Linked DNA regions of Macaca fascicularis. The protein of the gene in region 2 purifies or fractionates together with the protein of the main gene of each other region. This does not show direct contact. Links are inferred from orthologs where the notes say so. Each region holds a gene or a part of one and is shown on either strand. Other genes may lie near its edges. The genes, in order: CNNM3, protein tyrosine phosphatase type IVA 1, CNNM1 and CNNM4.

The links.
Region 1: the proteins of protein tyrosine phosphatase type IVA 1 (region 2) and CNNM3 purify together in Homo sapiens (affinity purification with mass spectrometry; 6 studies listed by BioGRID and IntAct, with this or other methods). This does not show direct contact. The link is inferred for Macaca fascicularis from reciprocal best matches to the Homo sapiens genes PTP4A1 and CNNM3.
Region 3: the proteins of protein tyrosine phosphatase type IVA 1 (region 2) and CNNM1 purify together in Homo sapiens (affinity purification with mass spectrometry; 4 studies listed by BioGRID and IntAct, with this or other methods). This does not show direct contact. The link is inferred for Macaca fascicularis from reciprocal best matches to the Homo sapiens genes PTP4A1 and CNNM1.
Region 4: the proteins of protein tyrosine phosphatase type IVA 1 (region 2) and CNNM4 purify together in Homo sapiens (affinity purification with mass spectrometry; 6 studies listed by BioGRID and IntAct, with this or other methods). This does not show direct contact. The link is inferred for Macaca fascicularis from reciprocal best matches to the Homo sapiens genes PTP4A1 and CNNM4.

The regions. Positions count from the first base shown.
Region 1 is NC_088387.1:1,841,910-1,848,996, reverse strand, and holds part of CNNM3 (metal transporter CNNM3), read right to left. Parts: intron 2,273-7,087; coding exon 2,075-2,272; intron 563-2,074; coding exon 413-562; intron 1-412. UniProt on the Homo sapiens protein: Probable metal transporter.
Region 2 is NC_088385.1:29,333,917-29,341,778, forward strand, and holds protein tyrosine phosphatase type IVA 1, read right to left. Parts: upstream 5,034-7,862; 5' UTR 4,349-5,033; coding exon 3,827-4,348; 3' UTR 2,510-3,826; downstream 1-2,509. Other genes in the region: inositol 1,4,5-trisphosphate-gated calcium channel ITPR2, read right to left, coding at 2,163-2,414, 6,896-7,096, 7,749-7,862. UniProt on the Homo sapiens protein: Protein tyrosine phosphatase which stimulates progression from G1 into S phase during mitosis. May play a role in the development and maintenance of differentiating epithelial tissues.
Region 3 is NC_088383.1:108,347,431-108,354,517, reverse strand, and holds part of CNNM1 (metal transporter CNNM1), read right to left. Parts: intron 3,315-7,087; coding exon 3,131-3,314; intron 2,983-3,130; coding exon 2,833-2,982; intron 850-2,832; coding exon 748-849; intron 1-747. UniProt on the Homo sapiens protein: Probable metal transporter.
Region 4 is NC_088387.1:1,807,471-1,814,557, reverse strand, and holds part of CNNM4 (metal transporter CNNM4), read right to left. Parts: intron 6,872-7,087; coding exon 6,728-6,871; intron 6,389-6,727; coding exon 6,254-6,388; intron 4,871-6,253; coding exon 4,701-4,870; intron 4,358-4,700; coding exon 4,261-4,357; intron 2,858-4,260; coding exon 2,795-2,857; intron 1-2,794. UniProt on the Homo sapiens protein: Probable metal transporter. The interaction with the metal ion chaperone COX11 suggests that it may play a role in sensory neuron functions. May play a role in biomineralization and retinal function.

The DNA.
Region 1 (7,087 bases), on a different chromosome or scaffold from region 2:
CTGGGAGGCTGAGGCAGGAGAATCGCTTGAACCCGGGAGGCGGAGGTTGCGGTGAGCCAAGATCGTGCCACTGCACTGCAGCCTGGCTGACAGAGCGAGACCCTGTCTTTTTTAAAAAAAAAAAAAAAAAAGAACTGGGCAGGGCACCCCACACCCGCGCAGCTGAGAGCTGAGGCCCCTGGCTGTGGCGCACCAGGTGTGGCGCTGGCCTGGCCCAGCTGTTGGTTGTCTGGCAGAGAGGAGCTGTCTCTCCCATGACCCAGGATGCTGGCAGGGCTGCAGAGAACACACAAGTCCTCAAGACGCGCCGCTTGCTAGGAGCGGGGAGCAGAGTCAGTGTCGGCCCTGGGCGGCCTCCTGACCCACAGGACGGTGAAGAGAGCAGGGGGCGCGGACCACCCTCCCGCCTCACCTCGGGACAGGAAGCGCTGGGTGGCCAAGAGCAGCTGAGGCGAGATTTTTACTTTATATTCATCATCAGACCCCTTGAACAAGGAGAACTCCTCCTTCCGCTTGAGAGGGGCCATCAGAGAAGCAGGCTTCCTCCTCACCACAGTGTCTCCTAAGATGGAAGAAGAGGGCGCGCTCAGGCATCAGCCACCTGTCAGTCAACACCACCACACCAAGGGACTGCATTGCCTGCTCCTTCCTACTGAGGCCAGGGGGTCCTCGACGGAGCAGCATCAGAGCCCCAGGGACATGTCTTCAGCACCACTCCCTCCACGGGGCCTGCTCCCACCCCAACCACACAGAGCGAGGGGTGGCTCCCTGCCTTGGAGCTGGCTGAAGAGAACGCTGATATGATAACAAAGCAGCTCTTATAAAACAACAGGCATCCCTGATAGGTCACTGGACGTGGACTCAATTTTATTTTAATTTAGGCCAGATGTAGTGATTCACACCTGTAACCCCAGCACTTCAGGAGGCCGAGGCGGGAGGATCACTTAAGGCCAGAAGTTCACCACCAGCCTGGCAACAGGGAGACCGTGTCGTTACAAAAAATAAAATAATTAGACAGGTGTGGTGGCATGCGCCTGCAGTCCCAACTGCTCAGGAGGCTGCGGTGGGAGGAAAGCTCGAGCCTGGGAAGTTGAGGCTGCAGTGAGCCATGACTGCACCACTGCACTCCAGCCTAGATGACAGAGCAAGACCATCTCAAAAAAAAAAAAAAATTAAAAATTAAAAAATAGTAACAGGCCTCTCTGGCCACTGAGAAACTTCTCACTAGAAAGCATGTATTCAAGGATGACCAGTGCAAAAGGGCCGCAATTAACCTGGAGACCCCAGGCCTGTGGCAGTCTCAGGAATGGAACCAGAAATGCTATGTTTGAAAATTGACACGAGTAAAGCAGTATTTCTGGAAGCATGCGGGACAGGGGGCCCGGCCATGAAGCGCAGGCTCTGTGCAGCTCTGCAGACCTCAGCCACCAACCTAACAGGCAGACACTTTTACCACGAAATCAAGGGCCCGGGATCAGCTGCTTTGGGAAGACTTATTTCCACCCCCTCCCAGTGTCTCAGCCTGGAGTACAGTGGCATGATCTCGACTCACTGCAACCTCTGCCTCCTGGGTTCAAGCGATTCTTCTGCCTCAGCCTCCTGAGTATCTGGGACTACAGGCATACGCCACCACGCCCAGCTAATGTTTGTATTTTTAGTAGAGACAGAGTTTCACCATATTGGCCAGGCTGGTCTTGAACTCCCAACCTCGTGATCTGCCCGCCTCGGCCTCCCAAAGAGCTGGGATTACAGGCGTGAGCCACTGCGTCCAGCCGGGAAGACTTTCTTCATGGCAAAGAATGGGTTCTTTCAGAGGACATTTCTGTAATGTACAAAAGAACCTGCAAAAACAAAAGCACCTCGGGAGACAGAAGGCTGGGAAAGGCCCATGAAGGGCAGAGCTCTCTCAGTAATGGAGGAATCTAACAGGACTGCTGCTAACGGAGCCCCAGGCGAGCCCTCCTGCAAGGCGGCTCCCTGCCAGCGCCCAGGCAGGGCTGAGAAGGGGCCTGGCTGTGGATCTTGCTGGGTTTCAGCAGCACAGAGGCCCACTGGCCTCGGACGCAACATACACCTGGGGAAGTGCGCGGGCCCAGCGGAGACGTAACTGCCAAGAGTCTGGACTCACGGTAGTCTTCAGACTCGTCCAGGATCTCGGACCTGATGATCTCCTCGATCACGTCCTCCAGGGTGACCAGGCCCAGGACCTCGTAGAAGGGGTCGCCCTCACCCTCGTTGTTCACCTTCTGCACGATGGCCAGGTGGGACTTCCCTGTGGGCGGAGGACACTCATGGAACAGCTTGCTGGGCCCCCGCATTTTGATTCATCTCCCTCGGGGCCCACCAAAAGGACGTGGCTAATGTTCATGTTCCTACAGCGGGTCAGGCACAGAGCCCGACTCTTTTCTAGGTTTTTACTTAAGACACCCAGCATGACTATGAGGACTGGCCTTATTTTCACACGGGTTGAAAATGAAGCCCTGGGCTCATGCTTGCTCATCTGCACAGGCCCCCCAGGCAGAGGTGGCCGAGCTGGGATCCAGCTCCAGGTCTGCGCACCTCCATGCCATGGATGCAGTTCAGACAAGCATCCAGTCGAGAACACATGCGCCTCACACAGCAGCCAGCCTGCATATGCAGGCTAACAAGGGCATGACTCCGGAAACGCAGGCTCTCCTGCGGCAGTCCACACGGGGCGGCTGAGTGAGGCCACCCAGCCTGACTCTCCTCGGGAGGTTTTCCTAATTCTTTTTTTTTTTTTTTTTTTTTTTACAGTAAATATATATGCTGTCCATCCTATGTAAATGTGAACTCCTTCTTGTCCTTATGATAGAAATGAAAAAGAGATAGAAAGATAGATAGACTGTGTGTATGTGTGTGCGTGTGTGTGTCTGTGTATCTTTTCGTTTTCCTAATTCTTAGAGCTGCCCATTAGGGTCTGTGAACCAGGGGATGAGACGCGTGGCAGCTGACCACTCAGGAGTCAAGCTGTGCAGGGGGAGGCACCAGGCTGATCTTCCGCCTCACCCTGTCTTTCTTTCTCAGGTTAGCTTCCTGTTTGGTTTGTCTGCTTAGTGAGGGAATGTAAACTTGGAAAAAAGCCCAAGTCTCACAGTGTTGGGGAATGCTGGGGAGGCTTCAGGAATTTACTGTGTCAGGTAAGTGCTTTTCATCCACACTACTTTAGACCCGTCTGAAAAAACCAGAACGCAAGCCACCTAAGTAATTTAAAATCTGAACGGCTGCGTTAGAAAAGTCAAAACAAACACACAAAATTAAGTTTTATATTGTAAGTAACCCAATATAGTCAAAACAGCATTTCAACATGTCATCAATCCAAAAAATAAACACAGACGTTTCGTCTATTTTGCACTCTCTGAATCTGGTGTGTTTTATGCTCACAGCACATCTCAACTCAGACTCCACCTTTAGGTACCACAGCCCCAGGTGGAGGGGGCTGCCGGCCTGCGCTGCACAGGGCCAGCACAGGGGATGGGAGCAAGTCATCCAGCCAGGCCCTCCTTTGTCACTAACGGAAACACTGAGGGAAACTGGCCTGGACCTGCCTGTGAGGGGGACCTGCTTCAAGACTCTCTTGGGAAATCAAAAAGTCAAGTTCACGTTGTGTGGATCATACTTTACATCCCGTGAGCTTGATTTAAAAAAGCACAGTTCTCCAGGATGCTTGCATTCCCCTGGACAAAAAGCTGGAAATGGCCACACGAGTCATCTCCCCGCTTTCCAGGAGGAAAGGCTAGGGCCCCTGGAGATGGCCACTCAGCCCTCTGAACCGCATTTCTAGACACCTTCTAACCCTCGGTGCTTGTGCTGGGTGCCGTCTCTGCGTGGGCCACGGCTGCCCCGCCAGAGTACAAACCTGTCAGGCCAGGCCAGGAAGGCCACGCGCGACTTGTGGTTTTGGTTAATGCCTCGGATTCCAGCACCAAAGCCCAGGATCTAAACAGCCACCTCAGCGCAGAGAGGCCTCATCTCGACTCCCTTCTCCCAGGAAGCCAGCCCCTGTGACAGGTTTCCTGCAGAGAGGGACTCACTCCTTTGCTTTCAGACTTCTCGAGAACAAGGCACACGACTCTCCATTTCCCTCTAAAACAAGGCACACGACTCTCCATTTCCTGCCACACTGGGATGACTCTACCACGAACAGAAGAAAGCAGGCCCTGGAAGATCCCCCGGAACAGTGGTTGTGTGACTGAATCCCAAGAAGAACGTCTGGGGGGTCTAGATGGCAGCCAAAGATGGCAGCAGGGGGACAGAGCAAGGGCAGCAGGAGGGACTCAAGGTCACCTCTCATGTGCTGAGCCACCAGAGTAGAACCACTCACACCAACGCCGGCCTGCAGGCCAGCTCCACGGGGCCACACACACCGACGTCCGCCCACGGGCCAGCTCCACGGGGCCACGCACACCGACGCTCGCCCACGGGCCAGCTCCACGGGGCCACGCACACCGACGCCCGCCAGCTCCACGGGGCCACGCACACCAACGCCCGCCCGCGGGCCAGCTCCACGGGGCCACGCACACCGACGGCCGCCCGGGGGCCAGCTCCACGGGGCCACGCACACCGACACCCGCCAGCTCCACGGGGCCACGCACACCGACGCCCGCCCGTAGGCCAGCTCCACGGGGCCACGCACACCGACGCCCACCCGCGGGCCAGCTCCACGGGGCCACGAGCAGCTGTGACAGTGTGTCTTGCCAACATCAAGCAGAAAGTCCTGGAAAAGCTTCAAGTGTAATTTTAGTTAGCAGGCTCCAGGGTATCCCAATTATTTCAATGCCAAAGTACCCTTTCATAACGCCCAATTTCTATGATGTTAATAACAGCTGGAGTGTAAGTTCATCCACCCTCTCTCTTCTGTTTTCTAAAGCACCTGGGTGAATGAATGAATACTGTGAGAAAGACAAAAGTAGCGTGCTGACACTCCTCACGCTGTCGGAGCTGCTCAGACTCTTTTCAGCATCCTGGCAATCATCTGGCTCCTGACAGGAAACCAGAGCTCGGTTCCTTTAAAGCAGAGACTGCGGCCGAGCACGGTGGCGCACACCTGTAATCCCATCTCTTTGGGAGGCTGAGCTGGGAGGATCACTTGAGGCCAGGAGTTCGAGACCAGCCTGGGCAACAGAGGGAGACCCCAATCACTACATAAAATTAAAAATTAGCTGGGTATGGTGGTGCTCACCTGTGGCCCCAGCTTACTCAGGAGGCTGAGGTGGGAGGATTGCTTGAGTCCAGGAGGCAGAGGCTACAGTGAGCCACGATCACATCACTGCACTCGAACTCGGGTGACAGAGCAAGACTCTGTCTCAAAAATAATAATAACAACGTTCTTGGCCAGGCGCGGTGGCTCACGCCTGTAATCCCAGCACTTTGGGAGGCCGAGGTGGGCAGATCACAAGGTCAAGAGATAGAGACTGTCCTGGCCAACATGGTGAAACTCTGTCTCTACTAAAAACACAAAAAAATTAGCTGGGCATGGTGGTGTGCGCCTGTAGTCCCAGCTACTCAGGAGGCTGAAGCAGGAGAATCACTTGAACCCAGGAAGCAGAGGTTGCAGTGAGCCGAGATTGTGCCACTGCACTCCAGCCTGGCAATAGAGCAAGACTCCATCTCAAAATAATAATAATAATAATAGTAACAATAATGTTCTTTTTTTTTTTTTTTTTTTTTTTAAGACGGAGTCTCGCTCTGTCACCCAGGCTGGAGTGCAGTGGCCGGATCTCAGCTCACTGCAAGCTCCGCCTCCCGGGTTCATGCCATTCTCTTGCCTCAGCCTCCCAAGTAGCTGGGACTACAGGCGCCTGCCACCTCACCCGGCTAGTTTTTTTTTTTTTTGTATTTTTTTTAGTAGAGACGGGGTTTCACCATGTTAGCCAGGATGGTCTCGATCTCCTGACCTCGTGATCCGCCCGTCTCGGCCTCCCAAAGTGCTGGGATTACAGGCTTGAGCCACCGCGTCTGGCCAATAACGTTCTTTTGTACATTAAGGTCCCTGACTTAACCATGGTTCAAATTACAATTTTTCAAATTTGGTGGTTCAAAAGCAGTATATATTCAGCAGAAACTGTACTTCAAACACATATAACCATTCTGCTTTCACTTTCAGTACAGCAATCAATAAATTACATGAGATATTCAACACTTCATTTTAAAATAGCTTTGTGTTAGATGACTTTGCCCAACTGCAAGCTAAAGTAAGTGTTCTGGGCATGTTTAAGGTGGGCCAGGCCGAACTATTTTGTTTGGTAGATTAGATGTATCAAACACATTTTTGACAAGGTATTTTCAACGTACAGTGGGTTTATCAGGACATAACCCCATTTGTAAGTCAAGGAGCAGCTGTCCAAGTTATTTATTACTGCTCCGAAGCACTCACTCTTCCTGGTGCGTCTGCACAAAACAATCAGCATGTCATCTCAAGTTGGCACTGACTGAGGGGTGCCTTGCTGGTACCTCGCCCCCAGACTTAAGTTCCCTAGCAGACGGAGCAAAAGAAACAAGAGCTGGAATGAAAGCTGCCAAGATGGCAGGGACTCCAGCTCCAGGAAATTCAGAGGCTCATACGCTTGGCAGAGAGATGGGAAGGGAATCGATTTTTAAAACTTCACACACCACAAAAGCTGCAATATGTTCTTTGTTCCTAAGCCGAGGAATGCCTAAGAAGGTTAGGAAGGACAAAAAGGACTTTAACACGGAAAAAATATATTTGCCAAAGGACTGCACTGAACTAGAGAAGCAGAGAAAAAAGCTCTGGGATGTCACCAGAGAGACATGGCCAGTCTGCCCACGAATGGCCCTCACTCACCACAGGAGCGGGGAAGTCAAGGGGGATTAAAAAGCTCCTCATTCAACTTCCAGGGTCCAAAAACCTCCCCCATTGTCTTCCAAGGGGATCCTGTTCAGCGTGCTGTCAGGCAGCTTTTAGAAAGGTCCGTTTCAAGCAGAGGCACTCATCCCCAAATCCTCCTGCATCGGGCTGCTTGTGACCTGCCTGGAGGCCACCCAGCCCAGAACAGGAGCAGCCTGGACCCCGGCCTTTCTGATTTCCTTCCTAGCTACATTTCCACCT
Region 2 (7,862 bases):
AAATTCCTTTCCAGAATTAGTGAAATTCCTCATAAAGGGTTGGGATGAATTTCACTAACATACACCATTTCTAAAGTACATAGGACAGGAATTTTTGTTTTGCATTTTTTTGTTTCTTTCATTATGAAAATCTGATGAATGCTATAAATCTCTCTGGAAAAATACATATACATAAAAAATCATATGAACAATTTCAGGGACTCATGGAATCCAAATTGGAACCATAAAAAATATGGGACAGCTTTCATGCCCTTGGTGCTTCTCTGTACCTCACTGATCCTAAACAAACCGTCAACGGCAGAGTGCCCGTCTCAAGGATGGCCACAGGGTACAGAGACGCGGGCCACTCAGTGCATTCTCACACCTATCATGACAGCAGCTAAAATGTACTCAGTGTTTCCTATGTGCCAAATACCCTCAGCATCTTGTATGAATTATTTACTTTAATCCTCCAACAATCCTATCAGGCATATACGATAATTATTCCACCTTAAAATTGTAGGAATTTAAGATTAAAAAGGTTAAAGTAACCTGTTGGAGTCAGCCACACAACTAGAATGTAATGTATCCAGGATAAAATATTCTGTAATTCTTTTGTGTATTCATTCAAAACTTATTTATTGAGTGTAGGCTCTGGCTCAAACAATAAAACAGTGAAAAGAAACAGATCCAGTTGTTGTTATTCTCATAGAGCTTACAATCTTGGGCATGGGCATGAGGGTTACAGGTCTTTGCTAACTAATAAAATGGAAATGTCAAATTTCAAATTATATATTCTTACAGACTCTACTAAGGGAGGCCAAGGAAGTCCTCCCTGGAGAAGTAAGGCTTGAATCAAGATCTAAAGGATAAGGAGGAGTTACTTAGATGAATGTAAGAGGTAAGAGTGGCAGTGTCAGAGGGAACTACATGTAGGAAGAAATATACCCAGAATCAGGCTCTCAAGTAAGGACAGAACCCAGGGATTTCATCATTAGACTAGACTTCCCCTCTTTGTCATCTTATTTCAGACCAATCAGGCATGAAGTACTCTTGGAGTGACATGTCGACAATTCCACAAAATTTCACAAAAATGTGCTTTCAAGTCCATCACTACCATACGATTATCTAAAAGTAGGGAATTTCCGTTAACCTCATCTGACACCTTTTTAAGTTACTGTGATTTTAAATGTTTGACTCCATATCTTTTTCAGGGTGTCACACATTTATAAGCTTTGGAACAACATACAACAGTAGAAAAGAAAGAAATTATTGCAATGTACATTCCTGGATGCCTCATTAATAGAAGCCTATTGGCAGACAACCAGCTGCTACTGAGGCTTTTTCTATCATCAGAGTCAAACCAGGACAGAGGGTAAATGATGTAGGAATAAAGCAAACTGTGTATGCATATTTTCAAGAATGCATCTATTCCATAAAACCAGGTAAACCTGCAGAGTCTTTTATGTGATCCTGCAGCACTATCCTAGCCTCTCCAATCAATGATTATGAATCATTTTTGAAACACCTATTTTATGCTCAAGTACATACTAAAGGTTCAAGTAAACCTTTCAGTTTGATCATATTGCCATGTTTAGAATTTTAAGAGAGCTGTCTAGTAGCTTCCACTAAACGAGCAGTGGCTATACGTCTTAAAAGTTTCTCATAGGCTGGCTGCGGTGGCTCATGCCGGTAAATCCAACACTTTGGGAGGCCGAGGTGGGTGCATCACCTGAGGTCAGGAGTTCGAGACCAGCCTGGGCAACATGGTGAAACCCCGTCTCTACTAAAAATACAAAAATTAGCTGGGTGTGGTGGCACATGCCTGTAATCCCAGCCACTCAGGAGGCTGAGGCAGGAGAATCACTTGAACCCAGGAGGCAGAGGTTGCAGTGAGCCGAGATCTTGCCTTTGCACTCCAGCCTGGGCAACAGAGCAAAACTCTGTCTCAAAAAAACCAACAAAAAAAGTTTATCATCTTTCAGAACTTCTTTTAGAACTTCTTATTAAAAAGCAGACCTTTTATGCTGCTTTACATTTTCCAAATTATATAGTTAAATACAATTCCCTGACTAAATATATGATCTCATTATAAATATTAGTATGGGGGACTTCTGGCACCTACATGAACTTTAAAAATTAATAATGATTCTATTAGAGCTGCCAAGTTTTGCCAGGCTTACCTCAGGGATGCAGTCGTCATGGGTCACCACCCTCACTATGTCGTCCAGCGGGAGAAGGGAATTACACTTGATTTCAGTGTAGACATTTTTCCCCTCTGTGCATGCTGCCAGCAGCTCCACCAGGGTGATGTGGTAGGCTAAGGGGCCACTCTCATCCCCTCGGTCTCTCTCTGAACACATCATATGGAGAAGGATGGGAAATGACGCTCTATCATTGTAAAATATCAGCACGTCTTCACCCCCATTTATCAACTGAAAAGATAATAAGAGAGTCTACAGAGCCGTCCAAACATTTATCCTTGCAGTTAATTCCAAAGGCTTGATATATCTGGAAACACATGTATCTCTTTGTTTTTTTTTTGTTTTTTTTTTTTTGATGATAAATGCATGTCATTATTTATTTAGATGTTTCAGCTCTCGCACTAAGTTTTTACAAGCTGGTGAACACTGACAAAATTATTTCTCCCACAGAACTATAACCACACATCCCCAGACAGTATAAATATATGGTTGAACTAACATTAATACACATCACCATTTTATCAATTACATAATAAAACAAATTATCAAGTATCCAAATATTAAGTTACACAGCTCAAAAGGCATATAAAATATTAGATGTCTGCTCAATTCATTAGCAGAAACCCATTTCTTTTTTTGCAAGAGAGGTTGGGAAGGGAAAAAAAAATCACACTTTCAAACAAAAATAAGTTGGTAAACATGCTTCTGATAAGTATGGAAAAAAAATTACAAGAATTTCAGGAAGTTTATGATTACAATAACAAAGCATCTCTACCTTTTAAAAAAATATTTTACTAAATTAAAGAGCATGTTCTACATGTTCTGCACAAGACAAAGGCAACATTTTGCTAAAAATAATTAATAGCCCCCTCCCATTCTTTTCTCAGGCCCTCCCTGTTAAGTTGCACCTCAGAGTGCAAACATTAAATTAATGTAAGGCTTTTTTGTCTGAAGACATTAAAGACATGTGCTTCTGTACAATGTAGATTTTCAAAATGGAGGTTTTTTTAATAACAGCACAAAGTGAGATTTATAGAAACATATTAAATGATCACTGTAAGACTTGGTAAAAAAAAAAAAAAAAAATCAATGGTTAAGCAAACCTGATGTATACCGGTATGAATGTGGGAGATGTAAACATAAAGTGAGCAGGCAAATAACCATGTAGGCCCTACTTTCAATGTTTGAAATGAGTGAAGGAATAAACCACATAAGGTCTAGAGTGTTCATAGTTCCTGGGATTTTAGTTCTGTATGGTACTAAAAATATACAAGTATTGTGCTGGGTATTTTGGCACCTAATCTTCCTAAATTTCTTATGTATTGATAAGATTCTGGCATGGGAATAGATTTAAACAAGTCATAACTCAATACTCCATGATTTTGGGAAAGGTCAATTGATACAAATGACAAGCACATTTTATACGCTGACAGCAAGAATCTTTTGCCAAGTATCCAAATAGGTTGACTGTAACCCAAATACAGAGGTTGCCAAATCTGTCTAGCTTGTGGCCTGGTAAAACTGCCTTTCAATACTCCTATGGAAGCTTCATTAGACTTACTAAGCCAACATGTTGGCTAATATGTATAACAAATTAGACCCTATCTCAAGTTCCACTTCCAATAGCATTAGGCACCCCAATTTTATTGAATGCAACAGTTGTTTCTATGACCGTTGGAATCTTTGAAACGCAGCCGCATTTTAGGACGATACTTCTCCAAATACAAAAGTTGCTTGCTGTTAAAAGCTCCACGCCGCTTTTGTCTTATGAATTGTACTGCATCTTCGTATTTCATTCCACCTTCAATTAATGCTAGGGCAACAAGTACTGGAGCTCTCCCAAGGCCTGCAACGCAATGAACAGCAATACAACAACCAGGTTCTTCACGAAACTTAATTTTTACAAGACTTAACCAGTCATCGACAATCTGGTTGGATGGTGGTGCGCCATCATCAAAAGGCCAATCAAGAACATGGATACCTTCTTTCTCCACAAGAGTAGTGTCGTAAGTTGCTTCACACACTCTTACTATTGTGGTAACTCCATACTTCTTAAGTTCCTCTATAAATTTGTTTAAGGTCGCATTGGTTGGATTGTGTGTAATAAGAAATCTCATGTTCTTGTATGTGACTTCCACAGGAGCTGGGCGGTTCATTCGAGCCATGTTAATTTAGTTAAAAAACACTCAATAGGGTTATGAAATAATTTAAAAAAATTGAATACAGAAATGATGCAAAGAAACTGAAGTCTACTTCAATATACTCCACTTGAAATTCTCAGTGCTTGAGTATGAAGTTGTAAGTAATGATAAATGAAATGAACCTCCTAACAAGCAGCAGCAATTCTTCAATCCAGTAATACTGAGGCCAACAGAAAAGAAGCGCACTGAGGTTTACCCCATCCAGGTCAGAACTCTTGTAAAATGCTCTGTGGATTTCAATTCAACACTTCTGTGTCCAGGATAACCACTCTTATGGGGGCTTCTTGGTGGAGTAGTAATCAGTTTCTACAGTTCACTTGTCTGCATAGAGGTCGTGCTGTGCCTGGCAGTAATCTCCACTGCCCTTCAGAAACTCCATAAATGTGTGACCAAGACCACCACAGAATTGAGGAATATGTTTACTCATTGAAGATTGTGGCCTAATCATACAGCCGGTCCCGAGGCGGCGGCGACACAGGCGGTGGTGGCGGCTGCAGGGCAGGAGGCGGCGGTGGTCGTGGCGGAGCGGCGGTGGCGGCGATGCAGGCGGCGGCGGGGGCACCAGACTCTACCATGCAGTGAGCGGCTCGGAGCAGAGCGCGTAGCCGAGCCGGCCCGCAGCCGAAGGAGCCAATACACGCGCCGAGGCCACATGTATCTCTTTGTAAAAACATATATAATATGGCACAAGCAGAGCTAAGCTGGGGGAGGGTGGTGAAAAGATTATGGTCCCATGCCAAGGAACCAGCTATGAATGCTATCAAAATCAGTTGGGGTGATATGGAAGCAGCAGATGGGGCAAGAATGAAACAATATGGATGATAGTAAATTGTTCATCACACTCAAATTAAACCTGTAAAAAAATAGTTATTTTCCTCTACCTTTTTTTGGCCAGGAGACTATGGCCAAAGCACAAGAAATCTCATAATTTTACTAAAGCAGAGTAAAATATCCTCATCCATTGTAATAGTGACTGCATAAGCAAGTACATCGAGCTAATTACAGCTCTACAAAAGTCTAAAAAATTCCATGTGTCATAAGAAGGCATCAGTAGAGAATGAAGGTAAAAGCAGAGACAAGAGAAATAAGTAGAAAACTAAGACCAAAAAACCAAGAGAAACAAAGATATGAATAGGTAGGGGCTTTTAGGACATAAATTTTCCTTCATATTTTGTTTATATAATTTTAGTAGAAAATTCCATCAGATGGCAGTTTTATTGCTCAAACTCCATACTATCTTATTGTCTATTATCAGTACCAATTTTCTAACCCCAGTGTGAGACATGTTGGTAGGTAACTAAGGATATACAATTTTTTCTCTATGTATTATATTTAAAGTGACAACATATTTAAATCTATAAGCCAGTTGGCTTACTTTGAAAGTTTTGTTGAAAGAGAATGTATATTTATCAAAAATATGTATTACATATTAACATAATATAATATTACAAATACTTCTTTGTGCACAGAAACACTTCACCCAACAGTGTCATAGGGATGGTTTCACTGTTTGCTGCTTCCCCATTCTAATTCTTTCCTTGCTGATCATAACACAAAATCCATTTAGTTCTCACATTTCCAGACAATGAAGAGCTAATGTGAAGGTAATTTCAGAGAAGAAAAAGGTGCATTTTACAAGCTTAAAATGTTCCTTAAAATGTTTAATAACAATAATTTACATTTAAAAATTCAAGGCTTTAAGCTAAATTAATTTTAAGATTTCTAAGTGGCAGGAGGGACTCCTTGAAGCATTATGGAAATTTCCTCCATTCCCAAATTTAAGGTATATACTAATGAAAATGCCCAGAAACCAATAAAAATCTACCATGTAACTATTTGGTAGCCATAGGTGGAAGCTCCCTTAGTCCATATGGGCCACTAGAGAACCATTTGGTCACAGAGTAGTGATTTAATCAACGGGCTCTTTAAGCTGCTACTTCTCCAATGCATCATACTTGAAGGCAATAGATGAAGTGCCTTCATCTATTCATTTGCTGAAAGTTACAACTTACTCTAAATAATAAGTTTCCACATGTTGTAAAAAAAAAAAAAATCACTGTTGGGTAGTTTGTATTACTTAGTTTGATTCTCTTCAAACCTTTCTACAAATAGTAGCAGAGAACACCCATTCTATATTTCAGAAACAGAGCAATAAAGGCACCGGAAAAGCACAGTTCAGTCTGTCTTTCTTATATCACTGGAAACTCAAAAATATAAAATTGTGTCACTTTCATTCCAAACAATCGATAACATTTCATAGGATTTTGCCCATTATTTAAAATACACAAATTTTTATAGGTCAAAAAGAAAAATATTAGAAAAATCATAAAACCAACTTAAGATATGTTGCTTCACTAGATTAAAGCAAAATATATTTGCACTTGAGTAGTCATGATTAAATTAAATAACTTCTCAAACCTATGCGGTTGGGGGTTTTTTCACTCTAATAGAAAATACATATTTGAACATACTGTTTATGTGAAGCTGATAAAAGGCAAACTGAGAACATACCTCTGTCATTACCATATCCTGGCATTTCTTCACATATTTACCATCTGCTTTCACAATTGTTTGCAAAAACCTCAGGTACTCCACGTGGCGGCCATGTGTCTCAATGCAGTGCACAAAGTGCTGTACAACTCTCTCGCTAATTTCGTTGCACAGATGGTAATTGTTCATGAAGATGTGCCGCATGGTTTCTGCTTCAAGGAGCTAAACACAGAGGAACGTGCCCTTGTAATTCTGACAAGATCAATTTTCTATTCTACAGTACTTAGACTAATTGCCCCGCTTGTGATCAGTTTTATATTTTATACAAAGCCACAGTGAATTTTCTGTGCAAGTCTTTCAAAAAATGCAATGAGATCATTAACCATTAAAAGAAAACTGAGTTCACAGAGGAATTTAGTTGGAGAAAGGAGCTTATTATCATAAAGTGCAACATACTGGCAACAGTATTCTCGAGATTAATTATGAATTCAAAGTTAGGTCTTCCATGAAATCTGCTCAAACACATTTTACAGACAAGGGCAAACTCCACCTCTGAGTTTTCCATATTTACCTTACTCAGGGTATTGTGAGTTAGTTCGTTGTTCTACCATATCTTTTTCCTAACATTTAACTATATACATATAAAAGACGTTGTCATTTGCATGTAAAACTTGTGCAATTTTTCAAGTTTCTTTAAAAGTTTCCTTAATGGGAAAAAAAAAAAAAAAAAAAGACACTTGCTTTTGGAGAGAGAATTTCCACAAGGAAAAAAAAAGGCAGCAATGAAGTGTAACAAAATTCTCTTCAAGAATGTTACTAAGACAAGTTTGATGCACACTTTACTAGAAATATTAGAAGCCACTAAAATACTTACACCTGGAGTTAAAAACAAATTCAGATGTTTATGAAGAAGAACTTGATTCTGTGGATTTCCTCGACAGAAATTCTGCAGAAACGTATGGGCTAGATTCATTACTTCGTTCATCTT
Region 3 (7,087 bases), on a different chromosome or scaffold from region 2:
GTAACACCTCAGGCCTATGCCTCCCGTGCCCCTTGGGGGCCAGCCCCTCTGACTGCCAGACACCCTCAGAGAGGACCAATCTCATAGGCTTTGATGTCCCATGAATCAGGGTTGATGGCTGTAGCTGGGAGCTATTTCCAGGGACCTGCATTCTCTAGCTCTGAAGCAACCTCCTTTCTGCAGTGGGGCAGGTGGTCATAATTACATAGTTGTCCTCAAGGATGAGAGAGCAATCTGTTCCCAGGTCTGTTTTTAGGAAGGCATATCTTCACCTTGTTCTCTCCACCATTGACTTCCGTGTGTGGAGGATATTGCTCTCTTTCTATTGAGTCTCCTGGACACTAATTCTTTAAAGAACCAGACAGTAAATATTAGAGGCCTGTGGGCCATATGGTCTCTGTCACAATTACTTATCTCTGACATTGTTGCCATAGATAACAAATGGATCTGTCTGTGATCCAGTAAGTCCTTACTTACAAAAACCAGTAAAGGAGGGAGGTCAGAATTGACCTGTGGGCATGGTGTGCAGTCTCCTGTCCTAGAGGAAAACAACTGAATGGGACAGATCCCAAAACTATCAAGGGTGCAGTGCTGGCCCAATCCCTTTTGCGGATTTCCACAATTGTACTTCATTAGGGTTTCTAAGAGGAGTCCCTGGCTCCTCCCTCAGGAGGAAGATGCTAACATGTTTTTCCTACTAACCATCAGCAGGGTGGCTTTCATCTGGGTGAAGAACTAGCTACTCACTCAAGGTTCTCAGCAGCTTCTTGCCCACGTTTTCCTCAAAATCGCTACTGCAGGGGCTGGTCTCTGTATCCAGGTTGATGTTACAACATTCGCTATCTGATGCTGAGAAAGGAAAGAAGAGAGAACTCAAGTTGTCTCAACCTACACACTCAGGCATCAAGACAGGGTGATTCTGAGTGACATCCCTCAGCAGGTGAAGTTTAAGACGTGAGCCAAAGCGAGGGTGGTGTAATAAGGCAGGGATGCCCAGGAAAGTGCTGGGTGTCATTAGTTAGCAAGAGGCATTTTAGTGCCACAAAAGGAACAAAAAGATGGAGAACAGGAGCAGGAATGCAACGATCCATGCAAAGTCAGAAATCATTCCCTCTCCTCAAACACTTTTTGGCAAGAGAGAGGGGTTAGAGAACAACGTGTTCTCCATCCAGTCTATTTGCCAGACTAAAAGCACACGTGAGGACAGGTGGAGGTCTCCTTGGTCTATTTGCACAAACCCCAGAAAGCCACAGGGTTCAACAACATTGTCCCTGTCTTCTCCCGCAGGACTCAATGGGAGTTCAAAGAATTACAGAACCTGAGAGCCCAGAAGGGGGCCAAGCCTTACCACCAATGCAAATAAAAACCTAAACAGAAGGCAGAGTGGTGTGCTGGAAACTGCACTGCACTGAAGCCATGAGGCTGAGCCTGCTAATGATGCAGTTTTTGGACTTGAGCAAGTTGTTTCCCCTCTCTAGGCCTCCAGGGTCCTCATGTGTCACAGGACGAGGGTGGACTAGATGATCTCCAAGACTACTCCATCACCTTCGTTCTTACTCGTTTGTTACATTTTCTTGCTGTGTGCTTTAGCTACTAGATTTGGTGTTGAGGGCAGAAAAAGAACATCAGTTCTAAATTCAGGTCCTGGAACAGTGACCATGTATGTCTCAGATTTTGTGGGTCAGCCACAAGTTCAAGCATATTGTCTTGTTGACTTTAAATTTTTTTTTTTTTGAGACAGAGTCCACTCTGTCGCCCAGGCTGGAGTGCAGTGGTGCCATCTCGGCTCACTGCAACCTCCGCCTCCCAGGTTCAAGCGATTCTCCTGCCTCAGCCTCCTGAGTAGTTGGGATTACAGGCGCCCGCCACCATGCCCGGCTAATTTTTGTGTTTTTAGTAGAGACGGGATTTCACCATTGTTGGTCAGCCTGGTCTCGAACCCCTGACCTTAGGTGATCTGCCTGCCTGGGCCTCCCAAAGTGTGGGATTACAGGCACGAGCCACCGTGCCAGGCCAACTTTAAAAATCTTTGAGCACTTTTTCAGGTTGTTGCTCTGGACTTGAGGAGTCTTATACTATGGATTGGAGTAGGTCTGGCAGGGGAACTACTGGCTTGGGTGCAGGCTTAGGGGGCTACTGAAAGCTTGGGGAAGTACATCTTAGAGAGGCAAACACAGAAGCTTCTCAGGACTGCTGGGACCCTGGGCGCTCAGAGCAACACCACTGTCAAGGCAGCAGTGTTCAGCGTCTCGGAGGTGATATGATCCGAGACCTCAGGAAAAGTCTATAGACTACACCTTTGGTCAAAGCCACAGCTAGTTAGAATGTTTCCTAATCAGTTTCCTAATCTGTGAGGTAGGCCTAATAATAGCTACGTAACATTTATAAAGCATGGTACTGAACACTGTGATATGCCTTTTATGTACATTATCTCATTTATGCTCAAAGCTACTTTATAAGATAGCTGTCATAATTTATACCTATTAACATAAGGAGACTTATCTATTCAGACAAAAAAAACTGAGTCTTAGGTTTAATAACTTGCCTAAAATTGCATAACTCCTAAATGAAGGAGCCAGGGTCTGAATCCAGGCAGAAACCCAACTCCTAATACTGCCCTACACAGTTTTCCTGGGAGAATGAATCAGACAGGGCCTGATGCATGGTAGGTGCTCAGTAAATGTTTCCTTTCCCTGGCTGTGTAAGGAGGTTGGAGGTTTAACGCAGGGGCTGCGGTCCCAGGGCTCCCCTCAGCCAGCTTTCCCCGGGCCATCCCAGTACCCAAAGGCGATGATCCCCCTTGTTCTGCTAGGCCCAGTCGGCCTCCCTGACCTGCTGTCGTGGGAACGGCTACCGGAGACAGTGTGAGCTGCTGTGTGCTGTGCTCCTCGAAGTCAGTCATTTCTTCCTGGGTGAAGGCCAGCTCCTCCATCCTCAGGTACACTACCTCGCCGGGGCTTCTCAGCCCATCTGAGCGGCTGCCTGGGGAGGACAGCACGTGCATCACCTCTCTGCTTTGGAGAAGACCCAGGGCTCAGGTGGTGTGAGCCCTGGGCAGGGCTAGAAGAGGAAGGCAGGGTCGTCCTCACCCCACACCAGCCCGGCCTGCCCGTCTGCCCAGCTGACTTACACGGCAGGCTGTTCCTGTTGTTCAGGAGCGTGATGGCGGGGTCATCCTTAGGGGTCTGGGGTGTGCCCCGGGTTGTGGGGGCCTTGGTGGAGTCCCCATCTGTGAAGGCCTCCATGTCAGGGGACTGAGGTGAGCTGTCCATGTGGCAGGCAGTGAGTGCATTCTGATACTGCTGCCGTGTGATCTGGAAGGAAGAGGGCAGGAGCTTAGGAGCAGCTAGGCAGAGCCCTCCTGGATGCAGCCAGCCTTCCCAGGCTCGGGGGCAGCCTCGCTGGGGTGCTTGGAACCCTCGGCCTCTGAGGCCTGAGATCCACCAACGGGGGCCTTACCCACGCTGTAGCAGTCCAGCAGGGACAGTGAGGGGCCCTTTGCTGGTCTGCCACCAGCTCCCACTGTTCCTTTTTATTGGCACCTGGAAGAACCAAACCTTCTGAGACGCTGGAGAGGATGGAGGGCATCTTCAGAGAGCCGGGTGGTTGTCCATGGAGAAGTTTAAAACACACATTTATACTATTGCCAAAGGCCCAAAGGGTCAGTCGGGGGTGACTTGGTGAGAATAAGGTAGGACTCCAGCAGCGAAGCTCTCATGCCCCAGGTCTCAGTGTTGGGAAGCTGGAGGCTAGGGCCTGAGAGAACACAGGCATTTCTGATTTGGACTAAGCCCATCCCTGGATGTAGGGTCATGCTCCTATGTTGGCAGGGACCACAGCAGGGAGGTCTCCCAGCTGTCTCCTCAAATCACAGGAGTCAGACTTGTGATTTTCCTGCTGTGTCAAACGTCAGCCACAAGTGAAGGCATCTGGAGGGTCAGGCTGCAGCCAGACCAGACAGGAGTCTCCATGATTCCAGGCAGGAAAAATATAGATCAAATGTCTCTTCTAAGAGGCAGGAAGGTGTCTCGGTCACCCCTGTTCTCTGGGTATACAACACAGACAGGCACTGTGAATCCTTGCTAGCAGTGAAAACAGACTAGGTAGTGTGCCACCTTGTACAGGGATGTGAAACTGCTCATCAGTGGCTGGCACTGGGAGAAGAATGGAAATGGTATGTGGCATAATATCCTTCCCAATCATAGCATCTCCTAAAGCGTTTTCATCCCCCCTTCACTGCATTAGCGCTAGAGAACGAACAAATTCTGCTCATTTTGCCTTCTCTTTCCTTTGGGGCAGAATTGGTATCACATGTTGAAACAGGAAAGATTTCTGCTGGCAGTAGGAGGGGGATGGTTGAGGCTTACACACTGTGACAGAGAGTAGGCTTGAAGTTGGCTTTGTATCTGGTAAGGTCTCAACAGTGGCTCCTTGTCAACTACTCACAAGACCCATTATTTTACTGGACACGATCAATCCTTTCTTCAACAAACTTCAGGATATTTTGCAAGAGAACCAAGCAAATTCTAAGCACAACTAATCTAATCATAAAACACCAGTTAAGAATGCATGCCTTTTTGCAGAGCATATGGGACACACATATACAGAGATTCCAGGCTTCTAATCATACTTCTGCCCATTCAGGTGGGCAAATAGAGTTTTCTATTGATGGTTTAAATCAGTGATTCTCAAACCTCAGCATCAGAATTATCTGAAGGACTTGTTAAAACAAGATTGTTGGGTTTAACTCTGAGTTTCTCATTTGCTAGGTCTGGGGTGGAGACTGAGAATTTGCATTTTTAGCAAGTTCCTGTGTTCCTGGTGCTGCTAGTCTGGAGATCACACTTTGAGAACTGCTGACTTAAGACCTAGTTAAAATCAGATACAGGTACTACTCAGGTTTTGGTTTTTTTCTCTGAAGGATTTTAAAGGACAAAGCAGCAAAGTGTTAACAACTGGCTTTGATATTTTTTAGGTCAAAATGGTATGTTCTTTGCTCTATGGCGTGGAACCACAGGTCTCCACTTAGCATTTATCCAAAGTCTTCAATCGATTCAATGTGCTTGTTGAGAACACCTGACTTTTGCCACTCCCTCTGTTGGGAAGTGAGAAGTCAGGTTCCAAAATTTCCCCCAAAGATGAGGAAATTTGGCTCTAACACCAAAGGATGGGAAAATTCCCTAAATGACACTCGGTAAGCCCAGTAAAGCAGTTGATCTTACTCTATTTGGGTTCTTTAGTTATTTAGATTTGGCTTCTACTTTAGTCAAAGGACAAATGTCCCTTCACCTAAGAAATATGGCAGGAAACATACTGCCAAGAACTAAAGTTCAAGTCCCAATTTTGCCACTTTCAAGCTGGGAGACCTTGGCCAAATATATATACATTTTTAATCAGCCAATGGGCAAATGAATACACTGGCCACATTGTTAACCTCTCTGATCTTATAAAAGAGGCCCAGAGTTAATGAGATAACATGAGTGAATCTATTATACAAAACTGTTAGGAATGGTTGTTTAAAACATGCCCACATGCATGTCTCACCATTTGACTTTATAATGGGCATACATTTCAAAGACAACTGTCAAGCTTACCATCTCATTATGTCTAAATTGCCCATGGCACACAGGGTGGAGGTGGGGCAAGGAGCAGTGTCCCCTCTGCCCCCAGAGTCAGTGTGACTGGAGATGCTGTGAAAGCAAGACTAGGTCTTGGAAAAATAAATCCTTAATCAAGAAAATAAAGCAAAAGGGAAAGTAGGGGAAGGAAGGCAATTCCAAGTATGGACAGTGGAGAAGGGGGACAGAAGGAAAGGGACAGTGAGTGAAGAAAGGAGAGGAGGAAGAGAGAAGGAAGGGGCTGTTTCAGTAGGCTTTGAAATGGATTTGCTGGCTCAGGGCCCCTCTGAGTTGGTAGACTGGCTGCATCCCCCAAGCTGGAAGTCTCTTGGGAATGACTGTTGCTGCAAAATGCTCTATATTATTCAACTAATTTATTTTTGGAAAAGTTCTGCCCAGATTTTATCTTCAGTGAGTTGTACCAGTCTTTTTAAAAAAATTTTTTTTGAGATGGAGTCTTGCTCTGTCTTGCCCAGGCTGGAGTGCAGTGGTGCAACTTCTGCCTCCCAGATTCAAGCAATTCTCCTGTTTCAGCCTCCTGAGTAGATGGGACTATAGGTGCACACCACGACGCTCAGCTTATTTTTTTGTACTTTTAGTAGATACAGGGTTTCACCATATTGGTCAGGCTGATTTTGAACTCCCGACCTCAGGTGACATCACCCTCCTTGGCCTCCCAAAGTGCTGGGATTACAGGTATGAGCCACCATGTTTTTAAAAAACAATGATAGGCCCCTCTTATTACCCGGTATCAAGGATCCAGGAACTCTAACCCTCTCTTTAAGCATTGTCAGGGAGAAAAGGATGGGAAGAAAGTAGTTTTGGTAACAATACTGAGTAAATGGGACACAATTCCTTGTAAGGTACTGAGTTCCTCATCATTGGAGGCATTCACACAGATATTAAACCACCACTTGTCAGTGATGCTAAAGAGAAGATTCAGACAGCCACAGCCAGGGTCTGCCATTAGTGGGAAGAAGCACAGCAGTATACGGCAGTGAGAGTGGGGAGGGGCAGGGGCTGGAGAGCGTCTGCACTGTTGGTGGGTGTTTATATAAAAGGAAAGGTACCACCCAATGGCTAAATCATCTATGTGACTCACGGCCTTAACAGCCTTGCTTTCACACAGCTCCATTTTTTAAAAAAAATTTTTAAAAATCATGAACTCCTGCCATGTCAATGTGTTGCCTTAAAAGAAATAGTTGACAAACTGTCAATGTATCCAACTCTGCTCTGCTTCTTCCAGAGGCATTTCTAGGTTCGGGTATCACTTCTTGTCAGTTCCTTCCCCTTGTTCAACAACTTACGACAACTTCTTTTAATCTAGCATAATACTGCTGAAGAGAAATATAACGTGAGTCCCACGGGTAATTCAAAGTTTTCTAGTGGTCACATTTTACAAAGTAAAAACAGGTAAAGTTAATTTTAATAACGTATTTCATTTAACCCAATATATCCAAAATAATTTC
Region 4 (7,087 bases), on a different chromosome or scaffold from region 2:
GTGTCTCTGTGTGTCTCTGTGTGTGTGTGTGTCTGTGGGTGTGTATATCTGTGTGTGTTATCTGTCTCTGTGTGTGTGTGTGTCTGTGGGTGTGTATATCTGCGTGTGGTATCTCACTGTGTGTCTCTGTGTGTCTGTGTGTGTGTGTGTCTGTGGGTGTGTATATCTGCTTGTGGTATCTCTGTGTGTGTCTCTGTGTGTCTCTGTGTGTATGGGTGTCTGTGGGTGTGTATATCTGTGTGTGGTACCTCACTGTGTGTTTCTGTGTGTGTCTGTGGGTGTGTATATCTGTGTGTGGTATCTCTCTGTGTCTCTGTGTGATTGTGTGTCTGTGGGTGTGTATATCTGTGTGTGGTATCTGTGTGTCTCTGTGTGTATGTGTGTCTGTGGGTGTGTATATCTGTGTGTGTTATCTGTCTCTGTGTGTCTGTGTGTCTATGGGTGTGTATATCTGTGTGTGGTATCTCACTGTGTGTCTCTGTGTGTGTGTGTGTCTGTGGGTGTGTATATCTGTGTGTGATATCTGTCTCTGTGTGTGTGTGTGTCTGTGGGTGTGTATATCTGTGTGTGGTATCTGTCTCTGTGTGTATGTGTGTCTGTGGGTGTGTATATCTGTGTGTGGTATCTGTCTCTGTATGTGTGTCTGTGGGTGTGTATATCTGTGTGTGGTATCTCACTGTGTGTCTCTGTGTGTGTGTGTGTCTGTGGGTGTGTATATCTGTGTGTGGTATCTGTCTCTGTGTGTATGTGTGTCTGTGGGTGTGTATATCTGTGTGTGGTATCTGTCTCTGTATGTGTGTCTGTGGGTGTGTATATCTGTGTGTGGTATCTCACTGTGTGTCTCTGTGTGTGTGTGTCTGTGGGTGTGTATATCTGTGTGTGGTATCTCTCTGTGTCTCTCTGTATGTATGTGTGTCTCTGTATGTGTGTCTGTGGGTGTGTATATCTGTGTTTGATATCTCACTGTGTGTCTCTGTGTGTGTGTGTGTCTGTGGGTGTGTATATCTGTGTGTGGTATCTCTCTGTGTGTCTCTGTGTGTATGTGTGTCTGTGGGTGTGTATATCTGTGTGTGGTATCTCTCTGTGTCTCTGTGTGTGTGTGTGTCTGTGGGTGTGTATATCTGTGTGTGGTATCTGTCTCTGTGTGTATGTGTGTCTGTGGGTGTGTATATCTGTGTGTGGTATCTCTCTGTGTCTCTGTGTGTGTGTGTGTCTGTGGGTGTGTATATCGGTGTGTGGTATCTGTCTCTGTGTGTATGTGTGTCTGTTCGTGTGTATATCTGTGTGTGTTATCTGTGTGTCTCTGTGTGTGTGTGTGTCTGTGGGTGTGTATATCTGTGTGTGGTATCTGTCTCTGTATGTAGGTCTGTGGGTGTGTATATCTGTGTGTGGTATCTCACTGTGTGTCTGTGTGTGTGTGTCTGTGGGTGTGTATATCTGTGTGTGATATCTGTCTCTGTGTATGTGTGTCTGTGGGTGTGTATATCTGTGTGTGGTATCTCTCTGTGTGTCTCTGTGTGTATGTGTGTCTGTGGGTGTGTATATCTGTGTGTGGTATCTCTCTGTGTGTCTCTGTGTGTGTTTGTGTCTGTGGGTGTGTATATCTGTGTGTGATATCTCACTGTGTGTCTCTGTGTGTGTGTGTCTGTGGGTGTGTATATCTGTGTGTGGTATCTGTCTGTGTGTGTGTCTGTGGGTGTGTATATCTGCGTGTGGTATCTGTCTCTGTGTGTGTGTGTCTCTGGGTGTGTATATCTGTGTGTGGTACCTCACTGTGTGTCTCTGTGTGTGTGTGTCTCTGGGTGTGTATATCTGCGTGTGGTATCTGTCTCTGTATGTATGTGTGTCTGTGGGTGTGTATATCTGTGTGTGGTATCTGTCTCTGTGTGTGTGTGTCTGTGGGTGTGTATATCTGCGTGTGGTACCTCACTGTGTGTCTCTGTGTGTGTGTGTGTCTGTGGGTGTGTATATCTGCGTGTGGTACCTCACTGTGTGTCTGTGTGTATGTGTGTCTGTGGGTGTGTATATCTGCGTGTGGTACCTCACTGTGTGTCTGTGTGTATGTGTGTCTGTGGGTGTGTATATCTGTGTGTGATATCTGTCTCTGTGTGTATGTGTGTCTGTGGGTGTGTATATCTGTGTGTGATATCTGTGTATGTGTGTCTGTTGGTGTGTATATCTGTGTGTGGTATCTGTCTCTGTGTGTGTGTGTGTCTGTGGGTGTGTATATCTGTGTGTGGTATCTGTCTCTGTGTGTGTGTGTGTCTGTGGGTGTGTATATCTGTGTGTGGTATCTGTCTCTGTGTGTGTGTGTGTCTGTGGGTGTGTATATCTGCGTGCGGTACATCACTGTGTGTCTCTGTGTGTGTGTGTCTGTGGGTGTGTATATCTGTGTGTGGTATCTGTCTCTATGTGTCTCTGTGTGTGTGTGTGTCTGTGGGTGTGTATATCTGTGTGTGGTATCTCACTGTGTGTCTGTGTGTGTGTGTGTATGTGTCTATGGGTGTGTATATCTGTGTGTGGTATCTGTCTCTGTGTGTCTCTGTGTGTATGTGTCTATGGGTGTGTGATCTCAAGGACTAAGAGACCTTTGGGGGCCCCTTCTAGAGCTGAGGCAGCAAAGCTGCCCAGAAATTGGGCCCCAGCCAAGCAGAGCCACTGAGGTCGGAGCCACTGAGGTCGGGCGGCCAACACTGAACAGGTGGCACCCGGTCCCTGCGGGGAGGTTAATGCAGCCGCAGTGTGCAGGCTCAGGCAGCAGGCAGCAGCGTGCCCCTCAGCCATGCCACGTTACCTGTGAGCCAGCAGAGCAGGGAGTTCCGCTTGCCAGGCGGACACCCGACCTGGACTGAAGGCACTGGAGCAAAAGAGAAGGTCAGTGATGGGCACAGTCAGGAGACAGGACACGGAGCCACAGGCACAGGACAGAGGCAGACCTGACGGGGCCAGGCTGCTTTGGGCAGAGACGGGCCCAGTGGAGAAAGGGACGTGGCTCTGATGGGAAGGGTGCTCAGGGCACAGCAATGAGCCCTGTGCGGAGATGGGCAGAAGCTGGCTGAGTATGCCCAGTCATCTCCACTCCCTTCTGGCCACACTAAGTGGGAACAGAGAGACTACGGGTGGAGGGACCAGGCCTCCGAGGCTTCGTTGCACAAGCAGTGCCTGGGGGAGGCCTCCCGTGCCTGCCCGCCCTTCTGAACGAGATTTCCTCAAGCTGAACAGAGAACAGCTGCTCTTGGAGGCACAGGAAGTCCTCCCCAGGCCTCAGGCATCTGGCAGGGTCCACCTGCTCAGAGCCCCTCTCTGGGGCCCTGTCTGTCCCCTGCCCAGGGAGCCTGCCATGCCCCACTCATCTGGTGGAGGGGCCGACGACACGGTGGGTAAGCTGAGCTGGGTGTCAATATTCATGGGTGCCCTACCCCCATGCCCCCTCGGGGTCCTTTCTGTCAAAGGACAATGAGGCACAGCACAGAGCTGCTCTGGGAACTGCAGCATGTACCCCACTGGCGTGGCCTGTTCTCCAGCACCAAAGTGGACTTTCTCTCTCTACCCTGCAGCAGCCTCGCCCCAGGACCCAAGGCTGGAGAGGAGCGAGGAGATGAGCTGGCGAGGCCTGGGCCTGCAGGGCTTTGTCTGCGGGGCTCTGCGGGGAAAGCCTGAGCCACTCAGCACCGGAGAGGGCACTGGGGCGGCCAGAGCGGCGCGTCCCCACACCTTCCATCACACCTCTCAGGGGGTGCCCAGTCTCCCTTCTGTCTGTCCCCAGGGCCCTTTATTCCATCGGAGCTGACCTCTAACCAAAACCCAGTAGCCGCGTCCCTCGGAAAGCCAAACCCATCTGCAGCCTGCCCTGGCAAACAGGCCCTCGCCTGGCTCCTGACCTCAGGCACTTTGGACGCCCAGACTCCCCTCCTGTCCTCAGGAGCAGGGCCCTGGGCCTTCCTCCCCACAGGCCTCCTCCCCAGGCAGACTGGTCTCCTCACCACCTCTGGACATGCCCTCCACTGCCTCCTGGCCTTTGCTCTAAAATCCCTCTCTCCTCTCTTCCCCTCCGGTTTCTGGACTCCATCCAAAGGGGCAGCTCCCTCCGCTCCTCCATACCACCCACTCCAGGCCCTGGCGGCTCCCACCTCACAAGCCTCCCTCGGCCCCAGCCAACTGGCTATGAGCTCTCGGGCCCACGCTCAGTTCTGGTGTCTGTCCACGGCTCCCCAGCTGCAGGGGGCCAGAGTGCAGCACAGACCCTGCCCAACAACTCACCAGAGGGGACCGAGGTCAGGGCCATAGTCCCATAGTAGGAAAAGGCGCCCGTCTCAAACTTCATGTTCTCCTTCCCTGCCTCCACCTCCACCTTCCCCTGAAAACACACAGGGCTGGGGTTAGAGACAGAGTGAGGGAGGAAAGAAAGGATGAGGCAGGATGGGGAGTAAGGAACAAGGGATGGTGGGGCAGGAGGAAGGGCCGGTACTGGAGCCCTGGAGAGCTCAGGGGCCTGACCTGTGGGATTAAGGGAGAGCACAGCCTCTCCTTCATCCTGTCAGGGAGAGCACAGCCACGTGGGGCAGGTGGGGCTCGAGGGCAGGCGGCAGGCTCCCCAGGCCGGGAAGCCATGCACCTCCGCAGCAGGTGGGAAAGAGGGCCCGAGGGGTGCTGCGGTGCCAGGGGGAGCAGGCGGCAGGCCCAGGGCTGAGTGGGCTCACCTGCAGGATGAGGATGAAGTAGTCGGCCGGCTTATTTCGGGTGTACAGGTAATGGCGGGCGTAGTACTTATTATGCTCATCAAACTTGAGTTCCTGAATGACATCTGGGTACTTGAGCAGCCGCAGCAGGATCTTCTCTGATATCAGGGAGGGGCTAAACTGGGGGACCTCTGTAGGAGGACAGAGAGGAGACCTTACACGGGGCTGGCCAGGTGGCCCTAAAGCTCGATCACTGTTGTGCGTCCACCCCAACCACAATAGCCGTGCTGTGATCAGACTCCCTCCCTGCTCGGCCGGCCCTCAGTTCTGTATCTCCCTGGGGAGGGAGCACGCTTGGCTTCTGACTGGATGGACCCGAGGCTGCCTGCCTGCCTGCCCGGGCTTGAACAGTGGCTCCTACAAGAATAGCACGTGACCTTGGGCAAATTATATAACCCGCATCTCAGTTTCCTCATCTGTAATATGGGGGTAAAAGCTTCACAGGGTGGTTGTGAGGGCGAATGGGATAGCACGTGGACAGCGCTTAGTATATGTGACTATAATTATTGCATCAGCATCGATATCCCACAGGAAAAATAATGGAGAGGGAATTACCATCCCTTTAGCAAGTAAGGGGTGGGAAGGAAGATTAATTGGGTGGGGTGGGGGAGGGGGCAGGGAGGGCAGAACAGAACCTGTCACCCAAGTCCCCAACGGAGCTTTGAATCAGGGCGGAAAAGAGAAATGTCTCTGAACTAGAGGTGAATTCCTGCAGGAACCAGCACACGTCTGCAGAGGGGAGGGCTGGAGAGATGAGAGCAGAGCTGGACGCAAGCTCCTCAGAGTGGGTGAGCGCACGAGGGGTTCAGCCGCACCCAGCAGACCTGCAGAAGGGGAAGGATCCCTTCTTCCCATTCCACAAGCCCTGATGGGCCTGGCCAGCCTAGGGGCCCACCTCAGTAGTTATTTTCTTTTTTGTTGTTTTTGAGACAGAATCTTGTTCTGTGGCCCAGGCTGAGTGCAGTGGCGCATTCAGAACTCACTGCAGCTTCAAACTCCTGGGCTCAAGCGGTCCTCCCACCTCAGCCTCCTGAGTAGCTGAGACCACAGGCATGCAACTGTCCCATCCCACAGCCTCCTGAGTAGCTGGGACTACATGAGGGCACCACCCTGCCTGGCTTTTGGATTTTTTGTAGAGATGGGGTCTTGCCATGTTGCTCAGGCTGGTCTCGAACTCCTGGGCTCATGCAATCCTCCTCCCTTGGCCTCCCAAAGTGTTGGGATTACAGGTGTGAGCCATAGTGCTTAGTCATTATTTCCCAAACTATTAACTATAATAACCGGGATGCTTCCTAGAAGTTTGCAGTAGCTGCCCATTAATGGCAAACGAATCGCAGGGAGATCCCCGGGGGTGGAGTAGGCACCTGGCCCCTTCCAGGGGTGGCTGTGTTGTCTCTGCACCCCTCACCTGCTGCAGCCCTCGTCCTATGAGGGGAAAGTAGCCAGAGACCCAGGACTTCTCCCCCTGTGACCGTATTTCCACCAAGACCGGAAGGTCCTCCTCACGCTCCTACCTGTGGCTAGGAAGCGATGAGCAGCCAGGAGGAGCTGCGGGGAGATTTTCACTTTGAGCTCACTGTCCGTATCCTTGAAGGCGGAGAAGTCGCGCTTGTTCTTCTCAGACACCCGCTTCCGGCTTCGGTTGTCAGCTGCCGGACGAAGAGCGTGGAAATGAGAACACAGACCCCAGAGGACTCAGGAAGAGACCCGCCCCGCAGCTCCTGCTCTCCAGCCCCTAGTCCCACGCAGGAGCAGCGGGCTCTGGCTGGCAGGTCCCCAAGGCACAGAGGCCAAGGGTGAAGGTAGCCTCCGGGCAATGCTCTCAGTAACCTGCTCCCTGCTCACCGCGGCCAGTGCAGGGCACCTGGCCACCGGGCCTCGGGATGCTAGGCCTCCTGTGTCCTGCACTATGGCCCTTCCAGCTAGGGACACCAGGCTTCGATCCAAGCAGGAAAGGGGTCCTGAGCCCTGTGGAGGGCTGGACTCACTGTACATGTCGGACTCATCCAGGATCTCCGACTTGATGATCTCCTCGATCACGTCCTCCAGGGTGACCAGGCCCAGGACCTCGTAGAAGGGGTCGCCCTCACCCTCGTTGTTTACCTTCTGCACGATGGCCAGGTGGGACTTCCCTGTGGGCCAAAGAAGCAGGTCAGACAAGAGTCCAGAGGCCAGTCATGAGACTCCCTCAACCAAAACATTAATTCTAGATGTAGGGTCATAGGTCACCAGGATGGGGTCATGGCGGTTTTTCTCTTTTGCAACTTTCCTGACATTTCTACTACAAACGGACATTGCTTTTATGAAAAGGAAAACTAAAAGTAATTTTTAAAAGCATTTCGTTAAGG